2 linked regions of the Nothobranchius furzeri genome follow. The protein of the gene in region 1 purifies or fractionates together with the protein of each later gene. This does not show direct contact. Links are inferred from orthologs where the notes say so. Each region holds a gene or a part of one and is shown in the gene's direction. Other genes may lie near its edges. The genes, in order: heterogeneous nuclear ribonucleoprotein D0 and ncl.

Region 1 (4,254 bases):
TGTTTTTCTTCAATTATTGGATTTCCTTGTATTTTTATTTTAATCTTTCTATCATAATCATGATAGATATATTTTTTAAGGCTCCATTTAAATATTTATTTTCACTTTAATTTCACTTTAAGGCTTTAATCATACCTGTTTCTTTAGCAAATGCACATCTTGTTTGCACTCGTCTTCCTCCCAGTGAGTGGACAGGTGATCCTCCAGATGCTCCCTGATGTAAGGAAACAAAATATCCTGGAAAAGTGACAAAGCCCGGAGTGTATTAGTTTTCAGTTGTTAGAAACAGGCAGTTTTTAGCCGTATGCAACTGTTAGCTCTTTACTTAGCATTACGGTTGGACCCACCTAATACAATAAAAACAAATGTAACTCACCTTAACGAATGTAATTGGTGTAGTGGTTCCCTCGATGTCCAACAAGATTGTTGTAGTGCGAGCAGGAATAGAAACAGTGGCCATTTCTGTAACTAGAATAAAACACAAGGATGGTGGAGGTTCTTATCTTAGCTAACGATAGCTTAGCTTAAATAGTGTGGTGTTACAGCGAGGCTCTGTTCCCACGTGCGTGTCCAGGTCGAATACCGCAAAACCGAGATTATAAATGAGCAGGAAATGGCTTTAGTTGATCTCTGCTACGTGATTATTCAAGCCATTACTTTAGCGAACACACAATGCAACAACTAACTCACATGTTCCGGTCTGACAATTCACCTCCAACTCACTAGGTGACGATACTGAGTATTTTAATAGCAAGGACTCATCATTTAAAAACATATTTTGAACAGTTTACAATTAATAATATTTTGTTTTGCATGTCAGAAAATAATTAGAATTCATTGTTACGTGTGTGCTATTTCTTTGAGGGTGTTAGCTGACTAGATAAATATTCTACGTAAAACACACACACCGTATATTTTCCATTCAATTTTTAATTTTCTCTTTACGTTCACTTGAAATTATAATCTGCCGTTCAAAGAACGTTTATTTTAACCGTGTTTAATGTTTACACTTAGATGTTGTATAGGTTACCCCGTCTGAAACTGTTCGCTGCTGTCAGCATCAGCATGGTCGTCATAGGTGTTCCTCGGCAAATATATTTGTGCGACTGCGAAGACAAAAATGTTAGGTGAAGAAAATATATAACTTAAATTATGTACTTTTTGATGAGGCGAGTCGGATGTGCGATAAAGCTGTGTGAATCTCTTTACATCTGAACCGAACACAAGGGGGCAGGGCAAAGCCAGTGGGAGAAACAGTTTTCAACGGGGTCACACATTTCGACGTAACACCGGCACGTTTGGGTGACGCTGTTCCCGGTTTGGTTTCCTAATTCATCCGTTTTTAAAACAGAGAAGAAGAATCCGGTGACGGTGATAAAAAACGACACAAAACGACGCTCTTATTATTAAAATAACATTTGGAAGATAGTTAATTATCAGTTTAAACGCTTTAAATTTCTGTTAATCAAAACCTTAGATGTTTCCGTGAAGAAGCTACACGGTTTGCGTTTGCTTCGTTTTTTTATCTGATGGTATTTGATAATAAATATTAGCTAGCCACTAGCTATCTGTAGCGCAACTTCTATTTTTTTGTGAATTTGTATTTTCTCAAAAATTCCCGGTGCCGCTTTAGTTAAAAATTAGGTGCCTGAAAAAACCAAAATATGTCGAAGGATTATGAATTCAGCGAAGGCTCGAGCCTGATGAGAATGGAGGAGGATGGAGATGCTAACAACGACGACCCGATGTCCGCTAGTGGGGACTGTGGCCTGACGATGGGAGGCGAGGCCGAAGGGTCGAGGATTGACGCCAGTAAAAACGAGGAGGACGAAGGGTATGTTACTGTTCCAGCTTCATAACGCGGTCATTTATTATTTCACTCTCAGTCAAAGCTTTTGGACTTATATGAAGGATATACAACATGGATGCTACATCTGCATAAGTACATATAGAGACAAATTCAGCAAGGAAATCGGTAAGACTTAATACATTTACACAATTATAAAGATGTTTATGTTGAGTAGTCAAAGTGAGAATAACGGGACACATTTCTTTAGCATGTTGTTGACTCTGCTGTCTCACTCCGTTTAGATATAACCATAATCAGTTGGAATGCAAGAAAATCAATGCTGTGATATTTCATGTCACTGAATCAATATTTCTCGATGTTTGTAATTCACAATTTAAATGTTAACATTTACTGTAATTATTTTGTTTGATGCAATTCAAACTCTGACTGCTAGGTAGCAGCAGTTTTACTGCCTTCATTCTGATGGAACGACAAGATCTCGAGAAAACGCTGGATGTGTCTTGAAAGCGTCTGGAGTGATTTAAAATTAAATTCAGTCTTTAAAATAGCTAATCATGTGGCTTTTAGTATTGCATTATATCGTATCATCTCCCCTTTATTGTGATATTTGTCATATTGTCAGATTCTTGCCCTAATAACATGGTTATTTGGAGGAGGGCTTAAGGAGAGACACTGCACAGTCTCCCCTTAAGACCTCAAGTTACTTTGGTGTTAGGGCTGGGGGTAAACGATTAGTTTTAAAATGATTATTCTGACGATTATTTTATCGAATAGTTGACTTTTCTAATGGCGATTAATCTAATTATTATTTGTCTATTGCACAATTAATAAAAACCAGAAAATCTCAAATAAATTCTTCAAAAAAAGTGATCAACTGGTACTGTAAGAGAATAGAAGAAGAAGAAAATATCATTTCTATAGTGCCTCTCAAGATAAAAATCACGAGGCTCTTCACAAAAACAAAAAAAAATGTAAAAATATAAAAAAGCATTTAGAAAATGTTTTAAAATACAGGGTTTCCCTTACATAGGCGTAGCCGTGGCGGCCCGCCATGCGCTGTTTCCCGAAGAAGCAGCGGGAACTACTATGTTGTCGCTTGTGATCACAGCCGGCGGGCAGCAAGAAGAAAGGAGCAGGCAGAGCAAGGTGACGTTACAGCATAAGTTACTGAGTTTAAAATTAGAAAGGTAGCAATGGATATAATGCATTTTGGTTTACATGTTTCAATAGCAGTAAGATAAACAAGTGTTAACGATCTTGACAGGGTTTCCTCCAGTGCTTATTAGGCAAGATTTTCCTCCCTCCACCAGGCTAAGCATCACTTATTCATGTAAAATTTATTTATTTTTTCATGTCTGACTTTAACCGCATCTAATACTGTATTACGGCGTGAGCGCAACAGCGACAACTTAAGATCGATGTGTGAGCAGCCTGAGAGGTCGGGTGTTTTCATCTGAACCCTTAAAACCTCCAGCAGGCTACGCTGCACTATTGACGTGTTAGCGCGCTAACAACTTAGCAATGTGACATGTCTCGGAGAAAGCGTAAAAACACGTTGGACGCTTCTTCTGAAGCGGGAAAATAACGCTTCTTCTTAAGCAGAGCATGACGTTGCCTCGGCTCTTCACGGCCGAGCCGGTACCGGACTGGGCTCGGTAACTGACCCAGCACAGCCACTGGGTCGTTGGAGCTGCCCCGTGACTGCCTGATGGAAAACCAGCGGGTTTCATCAGACTCGTAAAGTTTCTTGTTTTAGCTGGGGACCCCCTGTATTTTACCGCTCCCTCCTGCAGTCTTCCCCTTTTAACATTTAAAACGATTCTGTAAATTCATGTATCAATAGAAACAATCTCTGCCTCTGCCAGCTGCAGTAAATGTAGTTTCCAAATAATAAATAAGAGGTGCGTTCATCTGTGTATCTCCTTTGATCCGCATTAGTGATATCCTCAGCACCAGAATAGTGATGTGTCGGTCGCGAACGAACCGGCTCTAAGAGCCGGCTCTTTGAAGTGAACGACGGGAGCCGGCTCGTCATTGGGAGCCGTCCCTCCCCCCTCCCCCCCTGCCTTGGTGAAAGCTACAGGCGATTGGTCAACATGTGTAACTGTGTGTCCAGACTGTCCACACACAGAGCAGTAGGGGCGGGGAAGAGGGAGGATCAGACTCAGACAGACACACAGCAGAGCACATGCGGGTGGAGGGAGACGAGAGGGAATGAGGAGGAGGAAAAAGGCGAGCGAGAGAGAGGAGAAAATGAGCGCCAGCAGTAGGGAAGTGGAGATTTCTTAAAGTGTTCAGTTATTAAATCAATAGAAATTATAAATATTTGATATATTGCTTTTTTACATTAGTAAATTATTTTACATATAGTTTAGTATTATTTTGGTTATACATGTATTCTACGCAACAGAAAATCTGAGGAGCCACTTGGGAGCCAAAAGAAC
Region 2 (4,608 bases), on another chromosome or scaffold:
TGAGACAGTTATCCACACCTTCATCTCCTCACGCTTAGACTACTGTAACTCTCTTTTCACGTGTCTGAGCAGAACCTGAACCGTCTACAGGTGGTTCAGAAAGCCTGTGCTCGGCTTCTGACCAAGTCCTCCAAACACACTCACATCACCCCACTTCTCCTCCAGCTTCACAGGCTGCCAGTCAACTTCAGGGTTCATTTCAAGATCCTGGTTCTGGTCTATAGGGCCTTACATGGACAAGCACCATCATACATTGGTGATCTTCTCCATCCCTACACCCCCAGCGGGTCCCTGAGGTCCAGTGACCAAAGCCTACTGGTTGTGCAACGCACCAGGCTAAACACCAAAGGTGACAGATAATTTGCTGCTGTGGCCCCCAGACTCTGGAACTCTCTCCCCCTGAGCCTAAGATTGGTGGACTCAGTGGTCTCCTTTAAAATACAGCTGAAATCTCACCTGTTCAAGCTAGCTTTTGCGTGACCTTCATCACCTCCCTCCCCTTATTCTGCTCTTATTCCACCTTTCCCAGGATCCATTAATGTCCCTCTTCCCTATTAAATGTTCTCTCTCCCTTTCCTTACATTTTTTTCTTTTCTCCTTTTAAACATATTTTTAATCATTTTTGAAATCTTTTTATACTTTAATTGTTTTTTTGTTTTTGTGAAGCACCTCGTGATTTTTATCTTGAGAGGCAGATAAAATATCATCAGATAGAATCAGATATAAAAATATCATTTTCAGCATGTGTTCAGTATTGTGCAATACTGGACGTACATTATCTGTGTCTCTTATGCTGCATATTTTTGGAAACCCAGTTGTCTATTTGTATTCATTGTTTTGAGGGTTGAATGTTACAAGAACAGGTTACTGCCTATGTGTTTACCTGTACTTTTGTTGTTTTCTTCTTCCTTGTCTAAAAGTGTATGTGCTGCAGTAACAAGGTTATTTCCCCAAAATGGGATTAATAGTCTATTCTAAATAGGGTGGGACCTCAGCTTCTCCAGATGTTTAGCACAGGTTGGAGGAGTCAGTGGCATACACAATGCCTCTGCCCTTTTAGTATTTGCTGTAAAATCCCAGTGTCAGTGTCCCAAACTCTTCAAGAGATTTGAAAAAAAAGTGAGAGGGCGATATCCTCTTTACTGGTACAATTGAAAAACTGTGGTAACGTTTGATCAAAATATATTTTATTAAAGGCAAATTATTGTTGGCGGTTGAAACGTTCGACGTGGCCCTAAAAACTGATTGAATATACCCTGGGTTATGCTAGAACCACGTGGTAGACGCGGTCGATGGTTTACGGCAGCTGACCAAAAGAAAACAGCTGCACGGAGTTGCATAAAGACGCATTGTCTTTGTGTCAACATTTAGAAAATTGCACTTTTTTGGCACTATCCGAAGACAAATCTTGGAAGTTAAACACACAGATAATCTCGGAAATGGTATTTTTAGATGAAATTTGCTCAGGTGTAGAGAAAAAAACAGTCTGTAAACGGCTCGTAGGCGAGGCGCGTGCACGAGGCAAATATGTCAATTTCCGATTGGTTGAAATGGTCATGTGGGCGGGCAGACGTCACAGCGCGGAGCTGGAGAGAAACCACTTCTGCGACCCGTCTGTCTTTCTAGTCCAATGTCCCACTGAGTAGACAGATCCACGTGCATGCAGCAGACATTTTGGTACTTGTCATCAAACCTTTAGATATTAGTGTTTCATTGAAACACACACATCAGAAGCAACCATGGTGAAGCTAGCAAAGGTAAGACGAATCTATATCACATCAAAATGTCCGCGCTGAGCCGTGCTTGAATTTTTTTTTTTTGGCGCACGAGGCCTTTGGCTTAAGGTGCTGCGTTTTTGGAAAAATAAAACCAGTCAAAGTTAGGAATGTGCGCGCATATGTTGCAGTGACAGCGCATTTTCACAACATTTTTAACAATCTAATCCTTCAAAAGTAGTTTTTCCCCCTAATATGTAAAGCATGCTGTATTTGGTCGACGTCTCTGGTTCTGGTTTTCCAGGCCTAGCTCGGCCTGCTAACGCTAGGCGAGTTTTCGTCGTGTTATTTGTCCGTTTCTCTTTTTAAGCGTTTGGGTTTTATTGTGATTAAAAAATTGAGCTTTTTTATTAAACTAAAGTGGGAAAGTAGAGTTTTGACGTTACTGGTAATACATTTGTAATAATGTAACATACGTTTAATCCTATTCCGTTTTAGCATTAGCACGTTGCACATTTTAAGTACGTGGTCCGCATCTTCTTTACACGTTTTTGAGTCGAATTCAAGGGTTTTGTTTTTCGTTATCTGTTGGAATCTTCGTGTCGAACGTTTGTTACCCAAAGCGGTTTGATTTTTGTTGTAGTTTTAGTCGTCTGTGGTGAAATGTAGCCCAGATGCTAGCCTTATGTTAGCTTCACGAGCTCCACGTGGGTGGGCGCACGCTATGAGTGACACACGCGGTGTTCAACCAAAACCGAGAAAGTAGTTTACTGTAAAGGCGGACGGATGTCACGATTGGTTAGTCAGTCTGCATTATTTGCGGTATTTATTTTTGTTTAACTTGGATGAACTTGAATTGATATACTTAAGCTTAACGGTTGAGCTGTAGATTCGTTTTGACTGTTGTGTAGTCTTTCTAGTTTTTATGGATTAACACTGGCTTTTTTTTTTCAGGCAGCAAGTCAACAAATTAAAAAGAAAAAAGCCCCCCCACCCCCCAAAAAAGTGGAAGAGGAATCTAGTGAAGAAGAAAGCAGTGAGGAGGAAGAGGTATAACACTTGCTTAGTTACTGATATCAGTTTGTTGAATTCAAATAACTGAACTTTCTTTCTTTTTAAAATCCAGACCCCTCCACCTAAAGTAGCAAAAAAAGCAGCAGGTAAAGCTTCCCCAGCAGTCAAAAATGGTACCCCTGCCAAAAAACAAGAAAGTTCTGATGAAGAGGATGATTCTGGTGAGCTGCACTAATAAAATTTAGGTTTTTCAGGTCCTATTGATGTCATAATAAAATAATTTTCAAGGGATATCCCCGTCAAACTCACACAATGTACTCTTATTTAGCCTACACATAACGAGCTGCTTAAGAAAGTTTATTTTAAATTATAAACCTAAATGCATAATTTATTAGTTGCATAATTGATTTTTTTCTAAAAGTTAAATTTTATTTGATTTGTGAAATTATCTCGTGGTCACCCACAGAGGAATCTGAGGAAGAGGCACCACCACCTAAAAAGACACCTGCAAAAGCAGCATCTGCAAAGACAGCTGCTAAAGCCACAGCAGTGAAAGCAGCGCCTGCCAAGGCTGAGCAGTCTGATGATGATGACGACGACGAAGATGACGATGATGGTATGTGGTGGTTTAGACTTTTTTTTTTTTTTTTGTTAACTTTGACTAAGTGAATAGTGAAGTGGCCCCACACCCTCCATTTCTTGGCATGCATGCAGTTGATTGGTACTCATGTGTGTAATGTACGGAGGAAAAGTAAAGGCAGCGCTATGTCTTCGGTGCCGGTGTGTTTTAATGTCTGCCGGTTCTATCCTCAAACGCTGTTACATTGCTTCATGTTTTGTTTTCTGCTCTATATGAATCTTACCTAGAAGTGAGGGTGAAAAATAACCCAATTTCAATGTTTCTTGTTCAGATGAATCTGAAGAGGAGGCCCCACCTCCCAAGAAAGCAGCAAAACCAGCAGCCAAGCCTCCTGCCAAAGCCCCAGCAAAGGCCAAACCTGCTCCAAAGGAGTCTTCTGATGATGATGACGACGATGATGAAGATGATTCAGAGGAGGAGGAGGCAGCTCCACCCCCAAAGAAGGCTACTCCAGCCAAAGCAGCTGCCGCTAAACCTGCGGCCAAAGCAGCTGCTAAATCTGCAGCTAAAGCACAGCCTGCTAAAGAGGAGTCTGACGATGAGGAGGACGATGAAGATGGTAAGCCTGATTCTCTATTGTTTTTAATTATTGACAAAGAAACTTTACGCTGGACCAGCTTTAACTGTGTGATGAAGAAAAAGGGACTTAATACTGATTGTGGTTGATGTCACTTTTTACATATCTGATGTTGGTCAAAGCTGCAATAGCAAATCTGCAAAACGGGCCAGCTTTTAAAAAGTCGCCGAACTCTCTTTCCCCGTCAGCTATCATAATTTTTAACTTCACAAACTATTTTTGTCTTCCTTTAAGAGGCACGAAAGTGTTTTAGACTAGTTAGTTTTGCAGATTTGCCATTGTAGATTTAAAAGGATCATGTGATCTAAAACATGGGGACAGGAAATGATGTCCAGATCTGATGTTTGTACTCCAGACTCTGAAGAAGAGGAGATGGACACCACTCCAGCTCCAGCAGCCACCAAGGCAAAGAAAGCAGGCATGGTCAAAGCCAAGGAGGAGTCAGAGGAGGAGGAAGATGATGATGATGATGATGACGACGAAGATGATGATGAGGAGGAGGATGAAGGTTAGTTTTGTGAAACTTTTCTTGTGTCTTAATATTCGTACTGGAACTTGACTCAAAAATTAAGTTTTAATATGTGAGATTATCAGAGCGTCAGACTCTGCTTTCCTTGTTATGAGAGCTGTAACCTTTTCTCCTCAGAACCTCCAGCAAAACC

What was found.
Region 2: the proteins of heterogeneous nuclear ribonucleoprotein D0 (region 1) and ncl purify together in Homo sapiens (affinity purification with western blotting; 3 studies listed by BioGRID, with this or other methods). This does not show direct contact. The link is inferred for Nothobranchius furzeri from reciprocal best matches to the Homo sapiens genes HNRNPD and NCL.

Annotation. Positions count from the first base shown.
Region 1 is NC_091746.1:62,892,656-62,896,909, reverse strand, and holds the start of heterogeneous nuclear ribonucleoprotein D0, read left to right. Parts: upstream 1-1,443; 5' UTR 1,444-1,664; coding exon 1,665-1,834; intron 1,835-4,254. Other genes in the region: enoph1 (enolase-phosphatase E1), read right to left, coding at 136-237, 377-468, 691-775. UniProt on the Homo sapiens protein: Binds with high affinity to RNA molecules that contain AU-rich elements (AREs) found within the 3'-UTR of many proto-oncogenes and cytokine mRNAs.
Region 2 is NC_091748.1:62,944,937-62,949,544, reverse strand, and holds the start of ncl (nucleolin), read left to right. Parts: upstream 1-1,569; 5' UTR 1,570-1,739; coding exon 1,740-1,757; intron 1,758-2,669; coding exon 2,670-2,765; intron 2,766-2,841; coding exon 2,842-2,950; intron 2,951-3,195; coding exon 3,196-3,345; intron 3,346-3,418; exon of another isoform or gene 3,419-3,556; intron 3,557-3,640; coding exon 3,641-3,928; intron 3,929-4,301; coding exon 4,302-4,454; intron 4,455-4,592; coding exon 4,593-4,608. UniProt on the Homo sapiens protein: Nucleolin is the major nucleolar protein of growing eukaryotic cells. It is found associated with intranucleolar chromatin and pre-ribosomal particles. It induces chromatin decondensation by binding to histone H1.